Caenorhabditis elegans: one gene and its partners. The protein of the gene in region 2 interacts with the protein of the main gene of each other region in a pairwise test. Each region holds a gene or a part of one and is shown on either strand. Other genes may lie near its edges.

Region 1 (4,951 bases), about 10 Mb from region 2:
ACGCTCTTCTAAGCTCACATAGCTATGGAAACTTGAGCTTTAATGTTTTTTCTCGAAAAATTGACATTTTTGGGAAAGGGAAGGAATATAACACTTTCACTATGCGCCAGTTGGACCATTTTTTGTGAATTTTTTTATTTAAAAAATCCAATTTTTTCCAAATATTCGAATTTTTTAGATGCAACATGTCAACCGCAGGGCTGGTACCCACAAATATATGCTACAAAGGATACGTCTGCGGAGTGAAGCCCACTAGTCTAAATTCAACATTTTAATTTTATTTTTCAAACTTCCAGGTTCATAAACTGTTCGAGAAGCCCACAGAAGCATTTTTCTCGAGAGTTTCCGAATTCGACCTGCTAATTTTTGAAAGCAGTACCTGAATTATTGAAAACTTCTTATTAAGACTTCTAATTTTATTTTGCTATTCAAATTTCATATTTTCTAGAACTTTTCAACTTTTTGTCCGACTGGCTCAGTGGGATTTTGGGTGACTACCAATTTCACCACCTGGGTTCGAGTCCGCGCCTTGGCATATTTTTTTGTTTTAGTGTTATTTGGCTAATATCGACATTCTGAATCCGAATTTCAAGGTCCCATGCCTTAAAACTCAATGGGTTTCCTCCAAAATCAATATTCCATTGCAAAATCGTCCCTCGTCCCATATACTACTAAAATTGAAGTCAGCGTCTCGACTCTGTGCTCCCGAAAACTGAAATATGATCGCTTCGCCGCTTTCGCACGCTCCCCATCTCCCTATACTCTCAGAAATGAGAGGAAAATAAGGGAAGGGGGTAAAATCAACAAATAATATCGATTTTTTGAGAAGGTATAAAAGTTCGAAAAAATCACAAAGCAGTGTGGAAATGTCTAATTTTTGACCGAATTCGAACTCGGAAAGTCGAAATTTAGTAGAATAACACCAAAAAAAAAATTATGCCACATCGCGGACTCGAACCCCGGACCTCAGATTGGTAGCTGGCTAGAATCCCACTGAGCCACTCGTACACAAAAAGAAATTAAGTTTGAGCCGACCTAGCAAGTCTTTCTGGTTTTGAGAGTTGAAAATTCGAATTCAGGAGATTTGTATTATTCTGAGAACAGCAAAACAAAAATTCATGCCACAGTGCGGACTCGAACCCCGGTCGTAAGATTGGTAGCCGGCCAAAATCCCACTGAGCCATTCGGCCAAATTTTCAGAAAAACTTGAAAATTACGGTTTGAGCTGATTTTTCAGCAATTTCGATATATTTTTTTTTTCCAATTTTGAACTTGTTTTAAAGTTGTTCAAGCTATTGGAGACCAAGCTTCGAAGGGATATATATATATCCCCAAAATGTTGAAAATGTTATTACAAATAGTATATAAGTCAGAAATCCGTGTTCAGCAGGGCTTGTATAGTCAAACCAATAAATAAAAAAATTTATGACACAGTGCGGACTCGAACCCCGGTTGTCAGATTGGAAGCCCTCCAAAATCCCACTGAGCCATTCGAGCAAATTTTCAGAAAATCGAGGTTTGAGCTGATTTTTAAAAATTTTGAGCATTTTTTGGGACTGTTCAGCATATGTCTCATGTGTGCTAGGTGCAATGAGCTATTAAAATTTAAGCTTGATAGTTTATTTTCAATAAAAAGTTAAAAATTTGTATGTTAAAAATTCGTGTTCAGCAGGGCTTATATAGTCGAACCAACAAAGAAAAAAAATTATGCCACAGTGCGGAGTCGAACCCCGGTCGTCAGATTGGTAGCCCTCCAAAATCCCACTGAGTCACTCGTACAAAACTTTTTTTTCAAAATTAATTTTTCAGAATCCGAAAATAATGCGATTTTCCACCAAAAGGCGGAGCTCCGAGCAGACAGCCGACTGGCTCAGACATACGGTAGCTCAGGGGTGAGAGCTCCGAGAGCTCAGAGAGCCGGCAGAGAAAACGAGAGCACACACACACACACAAATACATCAGAGTCAGTCTCTCCCTGCTTCTGCGTGCCAGTTGCTCAAATTTTTGCTCAACAATTTCCAAATCTATATATCTGAAATTGTTCGCAATTCCTGAATCAAAAAAAAAATGCTTCCAGATTCTGAGGTGAGTTATATGTCGCTTCAGGGCGCCCCCGGGCGCCCGGTACCCCATCCCAAAAGTATCAAATATCGGCATGGTGATGAAACTGGAGAAAGTTCTGCGAGAAGGGTCTGTCTGTAAGATGAGCTCTTCCAAGACACCCCCCCCCCCCCCCCCCCCCCCCCCTCCATGTACCTCCTTTCCCCATTCAGTACCTAGACAGTTCTAGCTAACCTCTCCTACAATGTTCTCTGTATTTTGTGAGTTTTCTAAACCGTGAACTTTAATTTAAAAAACTCGAAAAATCGATATTTCTAATCTTAAAAATGTTCCTGAATGGCGCAGTGGGTTTTTGGACAGCTTCCGAGCAGAAGCCCGGGGTTCGAGTCCCCGCTGTAGCATTTATTTTTGTTTTTGTGTGGATGAGCTATATAAATGATTCTTGGCTTTAATTTCCTTGTAACCCAGAAAAAAAGCTCTCGGAGCTCAAAACGAGTAGAACTGCGAATTTTAATGGTACGGGGTTGGGGTTTCAGATAAAAATGTAGATTTTTAAGCTGAAATAAACTTTTTTCAGAGCTTTTACTCTTCATTTTTCGCAATTTCGAAAATTTGGTCCAAGTGGCGCAGTGGGATTTCGGATGACTTCCAATCTGACGACCGGGGTTCGAGTCCGCACTGTGGCACAATTTTTTCATTTTACTGTTTCTAGATTAATTTGAGTGCGCTGAGTTCAAATTTCTATCTTTTAAACTTCTAGGTTGAAGTTTTTTAGTAGAAAATTCCGAACTTTGTTGCAACTCGGAAAAATAAACAAATCAATAATTAGCGAAGTTTATAATCCACGTAAACAAATGTCTGGGTCACCTGGTGCTCAATGAGCACACTTATTTTTGATTTTCACTATTTTTCCAAAAAGATACATTTTTAACTAGGAACTTGCTCCGAATCGCCTTTTAAACTGACATTAATCAGAAAAATTATCAAAAATTATGATGTACATCCCTATTGTAAATTTTGGATTTTTTTTTTGGTCAATTTATGCGACTAGTTGATTTTAGGCACCCCTTAGTCTTTTTCCAATACCCAGTTGAGTCTAGATACCCCCTCACGCAACCATATTACATCATTATATAGCCATCATTAGCCAACTTGCAACAGTTGGGGGGACCCCCTGTGGTGACGGGATCGAATTCAGAGGTCTTGGGGCTCTTCGATGCACAATTTCTGTGGCAAAGCAGTAAAAAATCCAAAAATAAAATTTCGAAAATTTGGTGCAAGTGGCTCAGTGGGATTTTGGTGGGCTTCCAAGCAGAAGACCGGGTTCGAGTCCGCGCTGTGGCTTAATTTTTTTTTTTTGGTGTTTTAGACTAATTTGGGTATAGGCATGTCGAAAATTTTAGTCACGAGTCAGAAAATGGCTCAATGAGCATAAGAGATGAGTTTGAAAATTTCCTGGCGCTTATTTTTAAATTTTTAAAACCCTCGTAACTTTAAAACTAGAATAGCAAGAAAAAAGTTTCCAACCACAAAATTGTAGGAAATTTTCCAAGTAATATTTTGCTAGTTGACAACTTTCCTCGAACTATGCTCTCCACCGAGTTATGGTAGAAATCGCAACACCTGTTTGGTGGCGGGGAGCTCTGAGAAAACTCCCGCGGCTCTTTTCTTACCTGTTCGCCGGCGGTCACTTGAAACTAGATACCCTTATACCTTTTTTCCGCACCGGGCTCTTACTAAGTTTTAGGGCTTTTGGGGAACCCTCCGGGATTGATTCAAGTCAAATTTTTTTGGCCGGTTTTTATCAAAATTTTAATTTTTTCACTCATTACTTCACTGCCCCCCGGCCTAGTTATCACCTCCACTACCGTGTATTTGAACAACAGCGACATATGTAAAGCTCCTGTGCTACTGCTCGCCGAGCAAACAAATACAGATGGCATTGTTTGTGAAGCACCCCGTCCGACGCCTTGAAAGTAGTGAGGGAAGAAGAAGCTGAGAGCTGTATGTAAATGGAGTGGTGGCTCGGGTTTCGTCATTATTCCTGAGAACGGAAATTCGCAAGCTTTGGAGGGGTCCTGATGGGGTTCAGAAGTCTGTAAAAGCATTGAAAAAGAAAAAGAAAAAATATATGCCACAGCGGGGGTTCGAACCCGGGCCGTGAGATTGGTAGACGCCGAGAATCCCACTGAGCCATACGGTCAATTTTTTTGAAAATTTTGAAAATCGAGGGTTTTTGTTGGTTTGTAGGCAATTTCTCCAAATTTTGAGCTGGTTTTTAAAATATCCTGGGCTCAGTGAGCATTTCAAGATTTGATAAAAAATTCCCCGGTTTAGTATAAAAACACCTAAATAAAAATATATGCCACAGCGGGGGTTCGAGCCCTGGTTGTAACTTTGGTAGCCGCTGAAAATCGCACAGAGCCATTTGGACAACTTTTCTGAAAATTTTTAAAAATGAGGGATTTTTGCTGATTTTCAATTATTTTGTTAAGTTTTTTTTTTCAGTATATTAGCCTCATTTTTAGGGTATTCTAGGCTTAATGTACATCCGAATCAAGGGTGTCATTTTTCGATTTTTCGATTTTTTTGATTTTTTCGATTTTTCGATTTTTCGATGTTTTTCAGTGAAAATTTACTGTTTTGATTATCCTTCCCTGTGGGGGAACCCTTTTTGAATAGATATTTACAACCTCCTACAACGAAAAGGTTCAAAAATAAAACATTATCAGCTGTTTTGTAAGTTTATTTCAAAAATCGAAAAATTTTTCGATTTTCGATTTTTCGTTTTTTTCGGAAAATCGAAAAACGAAAAATTTTCGATTTTTCGAATTTGAAAAAACGAAAAATCGAAAATTTTTAATTTTTCGATTTTCTGGAAAAATCGAAA
Region 2 (7,563 bases):
AAAACCACAGTAATTCTTTAAATGAGTACTGTAGCGCTTGTGTCGATTTACGGGCTCGATTTTTAAAATAATTTATTTAACGATAAAATATCAAAATTAATGTAAGAAAAAAAAGAGAAAATATCACGAAGAAACGTAGGAAAAACGAGCCCCGTAAATCGACACAAGCGCTACAGTACTCATTCAAAGAATTACTGTAGTTTTCGCTACGAGATATTTTACGCGTCAAATATGTTGCGCAATACGCATTCTCAAAATTTTGTTTTCCCGTAATATCCAAGAATGCTGAATTTTCATAACAATAAAAATAAAAACTCATTGTCAATAGATCCAGTGTTTATTTATCTGTCTAACCGTCTAAAACTCTAACTTTTCAGTTGACTCTCGCTCGATAGGTATCATTTTCATTAAAATGTTAATGTTTATAGTATTCTTTCCATACAATTTATGTGCCAACCACCTCTTCTTTTTTGCATTGAATCCCCCGATGGCGTCATCCTTCTCGTCCTCACCATTTGGTGTGTCTGTGTCTCTCCGTCCTATCCACTATCTTTCATCCAGATTCCCGGTTTTCCCGAGAAAAAGTGAGAGAGAGAAGAGGCTACTGCGCGGCGACACTGGCTGCGGACACCCTCACTCCTCTACTTGTCTCCATCGATTTTCGCTGGTTCGTCGAAGCCTCGTCGCCAACACAACTTCTTCTTCTTTTTCGTCCTCTTCTTTTCTGCCACACGCTTGCACAGCTTCTTCTTCTCATTTTACGCTGTCTACTTTTTTCGGAGGGGCCATACCCCCACACACAGCTCCTTTTATTTGGCAGTTTTGGCATTTTTGAGGAAAAGTTCTGATAAAATGTATGAAATGACGTTTATTTTTGTGCTTTCCAGTTTAATCTTTTGTTGAACTTGATCGCAACATAAATTTATGTTTCGAAATCTCTCTCTCTTTTTTGGCAAATCCCTGCGGAAATGAGAAAAATTTGAAAAAGAATTGATGATTCAGAATTGGAATTTTTATTTGTATTTATTTTTTTGAAAAAAAAAACAATTTAACTTGCACTTTTATTCTTCAGAGCCAAAAAAGAAATGGCTCAAAAATAGAAAATGATCATTTTTAATCAATAATTGTAAATACCGTACTTCATCTGAAGGCGCAAGCGGTTAATTCATTCCTTGAGTCTCACCACGAATACCGTAGTTACATTTAAAGGCGCAGGCCTCGACGAGTGTTTGTAAGCGCTTTTTTTTAACTTTCAGAGATTTTATTTTTTCGTCATTTTTTCCAAAAACAAGGAAATCAATTCAGTTTTTGATTGAATATGTTTCGAAAAAAGAAAGAACTGTCAATCACACAAATTCACATCAATTTCCACTCGAAAAACGGCACAAAACGATGTGTTTGGAAATGTTCTTTGGCACAAAAATCAATAAAATTGCCAAACTCTTTTGTGATTGTGGTTCCTGCATCTCTCCGTTTCCCCCAATTTACCTGATCACTTTCACGTTCTTCCGTAACTGCTGACGCATTGAATGCACCTGATTTTGTTTGCTTACTGCAGGTAGACCGACGCCAACCCCCCTTGCTGCTCGACATGCAGACTATCGAGAAAGCGCTGCATCAACCGATGCCTTTCACAACCGGCGGGCAGACTATTTCAGACCGGTAAGCGATTTTTCTTTTCGATTTCTTGTTTTAAGTTCGAATTTTCAAGAACAAAATTGTTCTAAATTCAAAATAAAAGTGTATGTTTTCAAAAATTTCAAAAAATCAGTGTTAAAATGTATAAAATAATTTTCAGATTGACAGCTGCAAAGCACTCTTTGGCTGGAAGCCAACTTGGCAAGACAATATGCAAGGCGACTACCGAAGAAGTTATGGCCCCGAAGAAAAAGCATTTGGATTGTTAGTTCTTGATTTTTTTAAAGCAAAAATCTGAAATTCTGCATGTCACAGCTGTGGGAAAATTGATTTTTAATTAATTATTGTCCTGGTTTGAGTTTGTCGCTTAAATTTGCTGATTTTTCACTTAATTTTGTTGATTTAGCCACATTTAGAGCTAAATTTGGTTGCAAAATAAATCAAACATTATGTAAAATTCAATTTCCAGCAGCTGCAAAGTAGGCAATTAGGAAATTTTTCGCTGAAATTAGCTCTCGAAATTAGTTTTTTTTGCCACAGGTTGAGTATACGAATATAATTCCAGACCTCCTTCACTGCACAAATGAGCCAAATGTTTCGATTCCATCAATGGCCAATCTTCTAATCGAACGGACTCAAAATCCAAATTGGACCGTCGTTTACAAGGCTCTCATCACAATTCACAACATTATGTGCTACGGAAATGAGCGATTTTCGCAATATCTAGCCTCATGTAACACGACTTTCAATTTGACCGCGTTCGTGGATAAGGTTGGAGGCGCCGGCGGATATGATATGTCTACACATGTCAGACGGTACGCAAAGTACATTGGCGAGAAGATTAATACTTATCGAATGTGTGCATTTGATTTCTGCAAGGTATGTTGGAGAATATATTCTCTAAATTCAAAAAAAAAATTAAAAGCTAAGTAAATAAAGTAAATTTGTGGCTTTAAATGGCAGAATATAGATCGAATATAACTGTAAAAATTATAATTTTGCAAAAATTGAAAAAAAAAAAACGATAATTATTTTAATTTAAAATCTTGGTATTGCTTTTATTGTCAGTGTTTCAAAAAATTTTCCTTTAAAAATGTGAAATTATCGATTTTTAGGCCTTTTGATATTTTTCTTTCTGATAATATAGTTTTTATCAATTAAATTTGTCTGAAAATTTACAAGCTGTTTTTCATATCAAATTTTTTTTAAATCATGAAAACCCAATCAGCATTGCAAAAAACGCGGGAATTCAAAAAGATTTTTTGCAAACTTGAAAAAAATCATCAAAAATGTTATAAATTTTTTAACAGTTATTTAAAGCAATTTTTTTTTGACTCTACTAATTGACGAAATATGAAATTTTCAGGTGAAACGCGGTCGTGAAGATGGGCTTTTGCGTACAATGCACACTGACAAGTTGCTCAAAACAATTCCAATTCTTCAAAATCAAATCGATGCACTTTTGGAGTTTTCAGTGACCACTTCAGAGCTGAATAATGGAGTTATCAATTGCTCATTTATTCTTCTTTTCCGTGATTTGATTCGATTATTTGCTTGTTATAATGATGGAATTATTAATGTGCTTGAAAAGTACTTTGATATGAACAAGAAGCAGTGTCGTGATGCTTTGGATACTTATAAGGTAAAAAAATACTTTTTTTTTCAATTTAAAAAAAAAAAGAGGTCTTTGAAACTTAATTTTCCAAATTTTCAGACATTTTCAGCACAACAAGTTTACATAAACTTTGAATTTTCGAATTTTATGCAGATTTTAGTTTTTTTTTTGCGGGAAAAAGTTATGAAAATTTGATAAATGATTCTTAAATTCAATTATAAAAAATATATCCTGTTTGCGCGGGAATTAAAAAATAATTCAGATTTTTCTAATGTTTTTTTTCAAAATAAAAAAAATTGAACATTTCAGAAAGTTACAAAAAACCGATTTAATCGGAAAAATCGGTTAAAAATTTTTATGATATTTTTTTCAATTTTGTAAAATAAAATCTGGCTTTTTGATTTTTTAATTTTCGGATTTTATGCAGATTTTTTTTTTTTTTTCAATTTAAGAAGCTTCGATGTCAAAAATTAAGAAGAACACAAAAATATTAAAAATTTCATTTCCCTAAAAACTAATAATTTTCAAAAATTTTGCAGTCCTTCCTCACCCGACTCGACAAAGTTGCCGAATTCCTTCGCGTCGCCGAATCCGTCGGAATCGACCGTGGAGAGATTCCAGATTTGACACGTGCTCCAGCGAGTCTTCTCGAAGCACTTGAAGCTCATCTCATCCATCTCGAAGGAGGAAAAGCTCCACCACCAACTCAACAACATGTTGCACCACATCAATTCACCACTGGATTCGCATTTTCTCAACAACCACAACCGGCACTTGGTGACGCTGAACGACAACGGTATATTGAGTTGGAACAAGAGAGATTGAGACAGTTTGAAGATCAGAAGAAATCGATTAATTCTGCAAATCCATTCGCAAATGATGTCGCTTCGGCTGCACCTGCTCCAGCTACATCAGCTGCTCAGCCGGATCTTTTGGATATGTTCCAATCATCGGCAGCTCCAGCTCCTCAAACGGCTGATGTGACGAATCCATTTGGGAACTTTGCAGCTCCAAGTGCCTTCCCAACGAATGGTACGTTGAAATTTTCCGAAATTAAAGGAATTGGCCTCAGAAAAAGATCGAATTTCATAAGGAGACTTTTCAAAAAATTTAACAAAATTTTTTATGCCATAGGAAAATTGAAAAATTGAAAAAAAAATATTTTTTAAATAAAATTATGCTGGTTAAAAAAAAAACATAATTGTCTTCTAAAAAGAATAAAAATTGCCAAAATTTTAGACTACTTTACGATAAATTTTTTTTACGGTTTTCAGGGAAAATTGAAAAATTGAAGATCGAAAAATCCAAAAAAAAATTTAGAAACTTTTTTTAATAAAATTTTGTTCAAGTTACTTTGTAAAAACCATTTCAAAAACATCTATTTTTATTCTGAAAATATGAAAAATCGCCAAAATTTAAGATTTTTTCGAAAAAGTAGAAAAAAAATCGAAATATCGAAATTTTTTTCTCTCTCATATCGAATTTTTTTTCTCTCGTTCTTTTAAAAAAATGTTTCCAGAGAAAATCGAAAAAATGTTTTTAAAATTTACAAAACAATTTGTTTTTATAAAATTTTTTATGTTGATTTAAAAAAAAACAAAAAAAATCTGAAAAATCGAAAAATTTCCGATTTTCGTTTTTTTTTCAATTTTCTTCCTAATCATGCCAACTTTCATGTGCTTCTGCGGCCGGAAATTAATTTTTATTTGATTATTTCTCCATTTCGGTTACTTTTGTCACTTATCCTACGGTTTTTCCGTTAATTTAGCCTCATTTTAAGCCGATGGCTGCTAAATTTCGTTTAATGTACCTAAATCGATGAAAAATATGCAGAATAGGCTTGAAAAATCGGGGATTTTAGCTGAAATTAAGCTATTTTGAACAGTCATGAAAATAAATAATTTTTTGAAATGTCTCGTTATGAAATTCTTTTTTTTTGTTGGTAATTTTGAATATTTTTAAAAAATCAGAAAAAAATATTTCGCCTTAAAATTTAATTGCTTCACTAACATTTAACCCTTTGTTTCCACAATCTATGTTTCTCTCAAATCTTCCTTTGTTTTTTTTTTCATTTCACCTATGTTTTAGTGCCACCACCAGCAGCACACTCGGCTCCATTTGGAGTTCAACCAGCACCGCAACATTCAGCTGCACCATTCTATGCGAACCTTCATCAAGCTCCTCCAATGCAATCGCAAGCTCCAAATGGTGAGTTGTGGCGTTGTGTGTGTGTGTGTTGATTTGCATGTGTGGTTTTTTTTGCTTGGAAAATAATAATTTTTTAACTTAATAATTGGGGAAAAAAATAAAAAATTAATCGAAAAAATTATTAAAAATGCGCTGAAATATCGGTAAAAATAAGAAAAAAAGATTTTTAAAAAATCGGGGAAAGTCGAAAATATTTCCGAAAAATTAGAAAACGAAAATTGTCGTTTTTTCTATATTTTATAAAAAAAATATTATAGGCGGAATTTTTTTGTTGAAAATTGTAAATTGACACTTTAATAAATTTTGAAAAAAAAATTTTTTTTTACATAAAATTCAATTTTCGATATTTCTATATTTACCTAGGAATTTTTCAAAAATTAAAAAAAAATATCAAAAAATCGGATAATTCATTTATTTTTCCTCTAAAATACTCCAAAAAGTTGTTAAAAACTCGAAAGTTTTAGATTTTTTCAAATTAAACATTTAAATTTTCTCTTAAAAAAACGTATACTATAATATCAAAAATTGAAATTTTACGTTTTTCAATCTTTAAAAAAATATTTCCAATGTGCCTCTGAAAACGCCAAAAAACGTTTAAAAAATTATCTTTTCGATTTAAATTTTTTAGAAAAGCGCTTTTAAAAAATTCTAAAAACCGAAATTTTCGATTTTCAACCTCTAAACAAAAATTCTCAATTTATTTTTTTCCGGGATTTTTCAATTTTGGCTTCTTCTTTTAAAATAACTTTTAAAAAGCATGTTTTGGTGGTTCTGAATATTTTCTCCTCCGTCTTGACGTCGTCATCTTCTCGTTGTACCTCTGGAAATTAGAAATATACCAAATAGAAAGTGTGGCAATTTAAGAGCCCGAAAACCCATTTATAACTGCTCCCGCGGCACCACAAATGCACAATGCGCCGCCCGTCCCACCACCACCAGCATCTCAGGGGGCTCCAGCTCCTATCAATCCTTTTGCTGATCCTTCAGCTACTGCTGCTTCTTCAGCACAACCGTTTGGGGATCCAGGTGAATTAACTCACACTTACTTACCTTTCGATTTGTTGCTAAAAATACACGGCTTTCTTTTTTTATAACAAAAGGGAATTTTTTCTGAAATATACTAAAACTGGTCCGACGCGACCAAATTTAGCATCGAGACTTCTCCAAAAATTTATAAATTTACAGAAAAAAGAGCCAAGTTTCGTTAAAATTTGAAATTTCTCAGATTTGTTTCAGTCGTAGCAGCTGGAATACATTTTTATTGAAAAATCATCTTTCATCGCATGTTTTGGGAGTTTGAACCGTCCGAAATATGCAATAGAGGGAGATTTTTCATTTAAAAATTGTATTCCAGCCGAATGAAACGATTCTGGGAAATTTTAAATTTTAACGAGAAAAGTAAATTTTTGAGAAGTTTCAGTCTATTTCCGCAAAAAAAAACTCATTAACTCTACTTCAACATTAATACAGTTTTACAGTTTTTCATAACCACCCCACATTTCAGATGACTTCAAATTTGAACAAAAAAATGTAAAAATTAAAATATTAATTCCAGGTCATCAAGCTGCTCCATTCGGATATCCAAATGCTCATCCAGATGATCTTGCTCGAATGACTGCACAAATGTCATTGAATCAGCAGGGGTAGGATTATTTTTGTCAATTTTAATGCAATTTTTGTTGCAATTTTTTTCGTGACTCACGACACGAACGAACCACTAGGGCTAGATTATACATATTACCTTTTACAAAATTTCACAATTTCTAAAGAAAATCGAAAAATCTTGCCTAAAAATATCTTAGTTACAGAGCACCGGCCGGCTGGAATACCACAACTTCTGCCGTCTCAAACAATCCGTTTGGAGCAACGTCGGCTCCTCAGCCAATGTATACGGCTCCAATGGGAATGTATCAACAACCATTTGGTGCTCAGCCAATGTGGAATCCTGCGATGGGTTAGTTTATCGAAAAAACGAGGAATTTTTTTAAAATTAGAATCTCGGAACAATTGAATTTTTATCTAATTTTTCACAATATTTCAAGATTATTTTAAATGTGAAAATCGATTTTGAAGCATTTTTTGTTAATTTTTGCTTCATTTTC
Region 3 (7,678 bases), on a different chromosome or scaffold from region 2:
CTTCACAGCACTTGAGCTCAGCTTGAGCCCTATCAACACAGCAGCTTCAGCTTACGCACCATCGATTATTCAAATCATTCTTTGCTTTCTCGGCGTCCTCTTCCTTCATAAATTTGACGTATACGTTTCCGACCATGTGTTCTCCGATATTCTCACAAACGTTGATCTCCTCCACTTCTCCATATTTTCGCTCCATCTCCACAAAAACCTCCTCGTAGAAATCGTCAAAATAGCGCTGTTCCTGATCATTCCGCTTGCCGACTTTATCGAAAGCATCCGCCTGACGGACATCCACTACCGGATTGTGGTAGAAGTTTTTGAGCACAACTGTTGGCGAGAATGTCGGTGTATGATGGGCTCTGGAGCATTTGTCTCCGTGGCGGCAGGCTCCTGTCTGCAAAAATTATTTAATTATTGAATTTTTTCACAGAAATCCACAACAAACCTTGAAGAAAAACGAGCAATTGACTTTATCCTTCTCAGTACCATAGATTGAGGCCAGGTACTCGGCTCCGGAGAGCCCGTCACCATACGACATTGGGATTCACTAAAAAAAATGATTTTTGACGAAAAATTCAATTTCAGCGGGAAAACCCTGAGAATTACGATTTTTAAACACAAATTCTGACGGAAATACTTCAGAATACAACGTAAAACTCAAAATATCAAGAATTCAATGCAAAAAACAAACTGCGAACCTGAAACAGATAGAAAATGGAAATAATAACCAACTGCCCTGCTAAATTCGAAAACGCAACGAGGCACGCTTTTGTGGGCGGGGCGAGCGTCGGCAAGGTGAGCGCGCGCGTTTTTCTAGCGTTTTCTCTATTTTTCTTTTTTTCTCCCATGACCAGAGATTAATAAATAAGTTGAAATTTAAGTGAATTTCTCTTCAATTTTCCGCGATTATACCGATTAATTCATGCACCAAGGCTGAAAGAACATTTAAAAATCAATTGGAGCTCAAAATTATTTGGAGAAAACTCAAGAATACGAGATTTTTCACTCTAAAACTAAAATTTGTTCTTAAAATGCAAAGTTTTAAATGAAAAAAAAAACATTGATTTTTTTAAATATATAAAAAAGGGGTTTTTGATTCCTTTAAAATTCTCTGCGTCTCTTGCATCTCTCGCCGCGCGCTCTCGGGGACCACTCCTCTTTTGGGGCACGCAAAAATCGATAAGCTTTCGGCGGCGCTTGGCCTCTTTCTTATTTCTTCTTATTTCTCAGTTCCTGAATCCAAATTTACAGAAATTTCGGCGCATTTTCTCTTTTTGTTGCGAAATTCGCATTTTTAGCGTTTTTAATCGAAAAACCCCCAATTGACAAATCCGTGGGAAGTTTACATAGAAATTTCCAGCTAAATTAGGGAAAAATCACGAATTTTAGCCAAAAAATTACATTTTATTGAGCCGCCTCGCTCGCCGGCCGCGCCGCGCCGCGGCCAATTTTTACAGAAATGGCCGAGAGGGAACCTAGGCCACGGCCACGACCGCGACGCAGCTGGCGAGCGGAGCGGCTCAAAAAAATCTATTGTTTGCCCAAAAACATGTGTTTTTTCATCATTTTCGCTGATTCTTCGCATAAATTTCCAGTTAAATTAGAAAAATATGGCTCGTTTTTTCCCTTTTTTGTTGCGAAATTCCCATTTTTTGTCGAAAAATCCCCTGTTCTCCAGATGACAAATCCTTGGGAAGTTTCCGATGCCGAATATCAGAAGAATTTCGCAATGTTCGGCCAATTAACCGGAGGACAACCGTTTATGGATGCGGTCACTGCACGAAATGCACTAATGCGCAGCAATCTGCCAACGCAAGTGCTTTCTCAGGTTGATATTAAACTTTAAAAAAAAAAATGTTTTTATTCAAACAATTTCCAGATCTGGGCGCTGTCAGACTTGGATAAAGACGGCCGGCTCGATATTCGTGAATACTCTATCGCGATGCGACTTGCTCTGAATTGTCTTGCCGGAATTCCGATTCCTCCGCAACTTCCGCCTTCCCTGCTGGTAGTTCCCGCCAGAAATGCTCCACCAACCTGGCCTGGAAGCCGGCATGGCAGTGTAGACTACTCACAAACTCTTCCACCGGCCATTGATCGTCGAATGTCGCAGTCATACATCCCATCTGCACCGGTTTCGATTGCCGGAACTCCATCTAGCAGACACAACTCGATTTCAGCTGGAAGCCCTTTGAATAATGATCGCAATGTCTTCGAAGGCCGGCAGCTGGAAAACTGGGCGATTCCTCACCACAATAAATTAAAATATTCTCAATTGTTTAATGCTCTCGACAAGGAACGTCTGGGCTCCCTGAGCTCACAAGTCGGACGGAGTGCTCTCGGGCTTTCAGGCCTTCCTACCAATGTTCTCGCGCATATCTGGTTTTTGTCAGATGTGAATAAGGATGGAAAGCTATCAGTGGATGAGTATGCGATTTCTCAGTATATGATTGAAATGTTCAAAGTATGTGTTTTGTTACCGGCCAGAAGCTCTTTATTCAAAAATTGCACTTTTTCCATGAAAATCCAACTTTTCTGATCTAAAATTGATATAAAAATGTAGAAAAAGGTTCTTTCCATCTGAAAATATTGTATTTTTCATGTTTTTTCAACAAAAATAAGGAATATTTTCAATTTTATTTGTCAAAAACTTGGAATTTCAAAATAAAAAGTCAAGCCACGTGGACGCTCCTCCCACTTTGCAACATGCGGCGCGAGTTTTCGCAACACTGCCGCACGGTTGTATTTTCTTCACGAATTATAGTTTTTCAGTGAATTTTACAGGATTTTTCAACGTTTTGCTTGTTTTTTTCAGCAAAATTTCATGTTAAAACGCTGAAAAATCTCAAAATTTCAAATTTTTCTGTACGAAAATCGGAAAATACCCTAAAATCATGAAACACCATAAAAATTTCCGCTGAAAAACTTAAAAAAATTTTTTTTTCAGAGTGGATTCGCGCTTCCAAAAATAACCCCGCTGGAACTTGTCCGGATGTGCGGAATCTCATCAAGATCAGCCAACAATACCCCTGAACTCGAACCAGGAGCGGAGCCACCACAAAAGTCACCAGCTCCGAAAACTTTTGAAGATAAGCGACAGGATAACCTATCTAAAGGTCAGGCAGAACTGGAGAGACGACGTAGAGTTCTTGAAGAAGAGGAGCAACGAAGACGAGCAGAAGTAGAGAAGAAAGAGAGAGAAGAAGAAGCGAAGAAAAATAGAGAAAGACAAGAAAAGGAACGACAGGCTGAAGTTGAGCGGCAAGCTGAACTAGAAAGACAGAGAATAATTGAAGCTCAACGGGAGGAAGAGGAGAAGAAGCGGAGGCTAGAGATGGAGAGACGCAGAGAGGAGGACGAGAAAATGAGAAAAGTTCAAATGGAGAAGGCGAAAGTTAAACAGATGCAGGTACAGATGCCTGAACAGAAAAAATGGAATTTTTATGTGGATTCTAGGCGATTTTTTGAGTTTTTCTTTTGAAAATTGAACTTTTGGAACACAGAAATTTTATTTACTCATGATAAAAAAAAACCAAATTTAAATCCCTAATTTCAGAACCAGAAGCAACAAGAGAACGAGCGTCTTGCACAACGTCAGCAACGAGAAAAAACGCTGCAATTTCAATTACAAGCACTTGATGAGAAGGTTATCGATGTTGAAGTGGACATTGGAAAAGCCAAAGAAGCAGTAGCAGAAGTGACTGGATTTATTGAGAGAATGAGATCTACGAGAGACGAGAAAGTCGCGAGAATTAAAGAATTACAAGAGACTAATCAGAAGGTAATACGCGTTTAATCTATATGCAAATTACCCAAAAAAGTTCCAGACAGCTATCGAATCTCAAGAACTCGGCCATCAGCTTCTACAAAAACAGTCGGCTCACAAGGAGACAACGCAGAGAAAAAGTGAACTAGAAGCACTGCGAAGGAAACGAGATGCTATTCGAAAAGCTATAGAAGATGCCGCTCTGGAATTATCCACAGAAAAAGAGAAATCGTATAATCAGACGGAGATTTTAAAGACGAATAAGGAAAAGTATAAGACTGATGTTTATTCGAAACTTGTCGCAAAACGAGAAGAATATCGAAATTCGTTTGAGCTTCTGGTTCATGCTCAGACACATGCCAGGAGCAAAATTGGGGAATTTGAAGCGAAATCTGCTCCAGCTTCAGCTGCTCCAGCTCCTGCTCCTGCTCCAGCTCCTACTACCACCAACGGATTCCCTGCAAACTTCAACGATGCATTCGGAGAATTCGATAAAACCGATGCAAGTCAACGTTTCGACGCGGATTTCGGTGCCACGTCGACAGCGGATCCATTTGCTCAGATTGCTCAGGCGCCAGCTCATTCGAAGGGTGCTGTTGATCAATCGGCGTTCAATATTCATGACACTTATAAGTGTCGAGCTCTTTTTGCGTTTGAAGCAAGATCCGAGGATGAGCTCAGTTTTGAACCAGGTGCTGTCCGAACAGCAATATGTCCCTTTAAATGGCCTTTTGTTGTGTAGATTTACGAGCTTCTCCGGAAAAAGCTCGAAATTTCGGAATTCGTAGGAGAAAAAGTTTGGCATAAAATTCAGGAATTTTTAAATTTTTCCAAAAAAAAATCTGAAAAATTGCAAAATTCCACTAAAATCAAGGAATTTATCTAAAATTTTTAAGAGTTTTTCCAGAAAAAAAGCCAAAAAAAAAGAAAATTTCAATTTTTTTATTCTTATCTCTCATTTAAAATGACTTATTTAATATTTTTGAAATAGTTGCATGGAAAACAAATTAAATGCATAAAAGATGTGAAAAATTTCAGAAAATTTGAATTTTTTCGAAAAAAAAAACTGAAAAATTGCAAAATTCCACTAAAATCAAGGAATTTTACTCAAAAATTCTCAAACTGAGCTGAAAATGATTCCAAAAATTTTGAAATTTGTAGGAGAAAACGTCCAAAATTCAGGAATTTTTAAATTTTTACGAAAAATTATTGGAAAAAAGAACTATTTTTCCGCAGTTTTTTCAAAAAAATTTTGAAATTTTTCAAAAAGTTTGGATTTTTTCGTTTTTGGCAACAAAAAAAACCATCACTAATCAATGTTTACCTAAAAACCCCGTTTTTGTGAAAAAAAAACCCTTTTTTTCCCAAAAAATACCAATTTTTGTCAGAAAAAACTTAACAAAAAGTGTCATTTTTGACAAAAAAAAGGCAAAAATTCGAGAAAAAGTTAATTTTTATTTATTTTTCTTCTAGGAGACGTCATAATCGTCTTCCAATCCCATGCAGCTGAACCAGGATGGCGTGCCGGTCAACTTCGTGAGAAAGTCGGATGGTTCCCAGAAGCATTCGTCGAAGCAATCGCAGCAGTACCTACTCCAGGCGGTGATCCACCTATTCAGAATATGCCACCAAACATGACGCCGAGCTCATCAGTAGATCAAATTGGAGTGAAAGCGGCGCGGAAAGCGGAAATCGCAGCGGCAATGGGATTGACAGAAGGTGGTGCTCCACCTGCTTCAAGTGCTCCAGCAGCAGCAGCAGTAATATCTCAATGTATTGCACAATTCCAATGGAGAGCACGTAATGAGGAGGATTTGTCATTTGCAAAAGGAGATACAATTGAGGTGGAGAGCATTTTGCTGCGAAAAATCCAAAAATTGTCTGAAATTCTTGAGCTTGAACCTGAAAAAAATGAGATTTTACAAGTTTTCCGGCAGAAAATTTGAAAAATTTGAAGTTTTAAGCCAATTCTTAGGAGTTTTCAGCCTATTTTCCTGCAAAAACAGCTTGAAAATGTGATTTTGACGAATTTTTGAAAAAAAAATTGGATTTTCGGTGAAAAAATCGATTTTTAATCTATCTTTCAGCTAAATTGTATGATTTATAAAATAACCTTTTTTCCCAAAAAAAACCATTTTCCCCATAATAACTCTTTTTTCTAAAAAAAAACCTGTTTTCTACCAAAAAAAAACCCATTTTTATCAACAAAGGAACCCAAATTTTCAACAAAAAAAACCTTTTTTACCCCAAAAAAACCTATTTTTCAGCAAAAAAATGAGCGTGGTTTCTGGGGAATTTTTCCAAAAATTTGAAAAAAAATTTAGGATTTTATTCCCATTTCTTCTTTTCACGATTTTTCTTGAATTTCAGACTATTTTTTTTAGATTTTTGAAGGTACACCTTAACTCGAACTAATAACATTAATTTCAGGTACTAGAAAAGCAAGAAATGAAATGGAAAGGTCGAAATCCTGCCGGCGAAATTGGATGGTTCCCGAAAAGTTATGTGAAAGAAGTCGGAGCAACCACCAGCACCACGACTCCGATTGTGTCTCCTTCGAAGGCTTCTGCAGGAGCTCCAGGAGCAGCAGCAGGAGCTCAATACGACGTGGTACCTTCCGATGTGACATTACAAGCCTCCGAAACAGCCCCCCAACAACAACTTTACACTGTGATCTACGATTTTGAAGCTGTCGAGACAACAGATTTGGCACTGCATGTCGGTGACACAATTCTAGTGCTCGAGAAGTAAGTGGAGAGAGGAGCTCTCGCTGCTCTTGACAGGAGCTCATTTGGAATTGAATTTTTTCATTTTTTTGATAGCTTTTCGTATTCTTGCGCTATTATTATTATGCTTAAACGAAAGGTTTCGGGGTATCAATTTATTACATTTTGAACCAAATAAGCCCAAAATTTTTAAAATAATTGTTTCCAATTTTGCAAGGAAAACCCTATTTTTGGCAAAGTAACCTCAAAAAACTATTTCTTGTCCAAAAAAACCTTTTTTTTTTCAAAAAAGTCTAATTTTTGTCAGAAAAAAATCCAAAAATGTGTCGTTTTGCCAAAAACACCAAAAAAATTCCATTTTTGCAACAAAAACAGCTAAAAAATACATTTTTCCCCAGAAAAAAAATCATAAAACTCAGTTTTGCCAAAAAAAAAAACCAAACACGCGTCATGTTTACCAATAAAACTTTTTTTGTTTTAAACCGATTTTTTCAGAAAAAATCCAAAAGTGTCATTTTTAACATTAAAAAAACCTAAAAAGCTATTTTTTCAAAAAAGGCACAATTTTTCTTACTTTTGCCAAAAATGTGTCATTTTCGTCAAAAAAAACCCTGAAAAAAAAACAATTTCCAAAAAACACAATTTTTACCGAAAAAAAATTAAATTTAAAAACCAAAAAAAGCATATTTTCTCAAAAAAATTAATTTCTCCACAAAATTAAAAAAAAGCCCGACAAAATCCAATTTTTGCAAAAAAAAACCGAAATACTCTTTTTTTTCCAAAAAAACTTCATATTAAAAAAAACCCCAAAAACCCAAAAAACTTGTTTTTTAGCCAAAAAAAAATTACTTAAAAACTGAAAAACTGACACCAAAACAAAAATATCAATTTTCAGTGATTTAAATCAAAAAATAATTTCAGAAACGATGAATGGTGGAAAGGGCGTTGCAACGGACGTGAGGGTATCTTCCCAGCCAACTATGTCGAGATATCAGTCCAGCAGGCAGGGGATCCGACTCCACCAACTCAAGCTCCAACTCCAGCGGCTCCACCAACCGTCCTCTGTGAAGCTAAAGTTGTCGTGGATTTTGTTGCATCGGCGCCAAATCAATTGGGAATCAAAGTTGGCGAAATTGTGAAAATTCGTGAAAAATCAGCAGCCGGCTGGTGGGAAGGCGAGCTGATT

Evidence for each region. Proteins that work in one complex are often made in the same cells at the same time.
Region 1: the proteins of unc-11 (region 2) and eya-1 interact in binary tests that used the Caenorhabditis elegans proteins (3 or more experiments, as listed by UniProt).
Region 3: the proteins of unc-11 (region 2) and itsn-1 interact in a two-hybrid assay, tested with the Caenorhabditis elegans proteins (3 studies listed by BioGRID).

The regions. Positions count from the first base shown.
Region 1 is NC_003279.8:14,228,359-14,233,309, reverse strand, and holds the start of eya-1 (Protein phosphatase eya-1), read left to right. Parts: upstream 1-1,949; 5' UTR 1,950-2,067; coding exon 2,068-2,085; intron 2,086-2,279; exon of another isoform or gene 2,280-2,321; intron 2,322-4,208; exon of another isoform or gene 4,209-4,278; intron 4,279-4,951. Other genes in the region: clec-114 (PAN-3 domain-containing protein), read left to right, coding at 179-275. UniProt on the Caenorhabditis elegans protein: Tyrosine protein phosphatase. Acts probably as a transcription regulator in the embryonic and postembryonic development of several tissues including pharynx, vulva and gonads. Required for the development of anterior tissues during late embryogenesis.
Region 2 is NC_003279.8:3,799,733-3,807,295, reverse strand, and holds the start of unc-11 (Phosphatidylinositol-binding clathrin assembly protein unc-11), read left to right. Parts: upstream 1-1,556; 5' UTR 1,557-1,591; coding exon 1,592-1,662; intron 1,663-1,798; coding exon 1,799-1,902; intron 1,903-2,203; coding exon 2,204-2,517; intron 2,518-3,004; coding exon 3,005-3,280; intron 3,281-3,792; coding exon 3,793-4,285; intron 4,286-5,341; coding exon 5,342-5,461; intron 5,462-6,325; coding exon 6,326-6,487; intron 6,488-7,016; coding exon 7,017-7,104; intron 7,105-7,263; coding exon 7,264-7,415; intron 7,416-7,563.
Region 3 is NC_003282.8:17,118,006-17,125,683, forward strand, and holds the start of itsn-1 (Intersectin-1), read left to right. Parts: upstream 1-1,676; 5' UTR 1,677-1,678; coding exon 1,679-1,828; intron 1,829-1,879; coding exon 1,880-2,464; intron 2,465-2,947; coding exon 2,948-3,409; intron 3,410-3,556; coding exon 3,557-3,781; intron 3,782-3,821; coding exon 3,822-4,458; intron 4,459-5,239; coding exon 5,240-5,610; intron 5,611-6,196; coding exon 6,197-6,513; intron 6,514-7,413; coding exon 7,414-7,678. Other genes in the region: uaf-2 (Splicing factor U2AF 35 kDa subunit), read right to left, coding at 60-394, 446-538.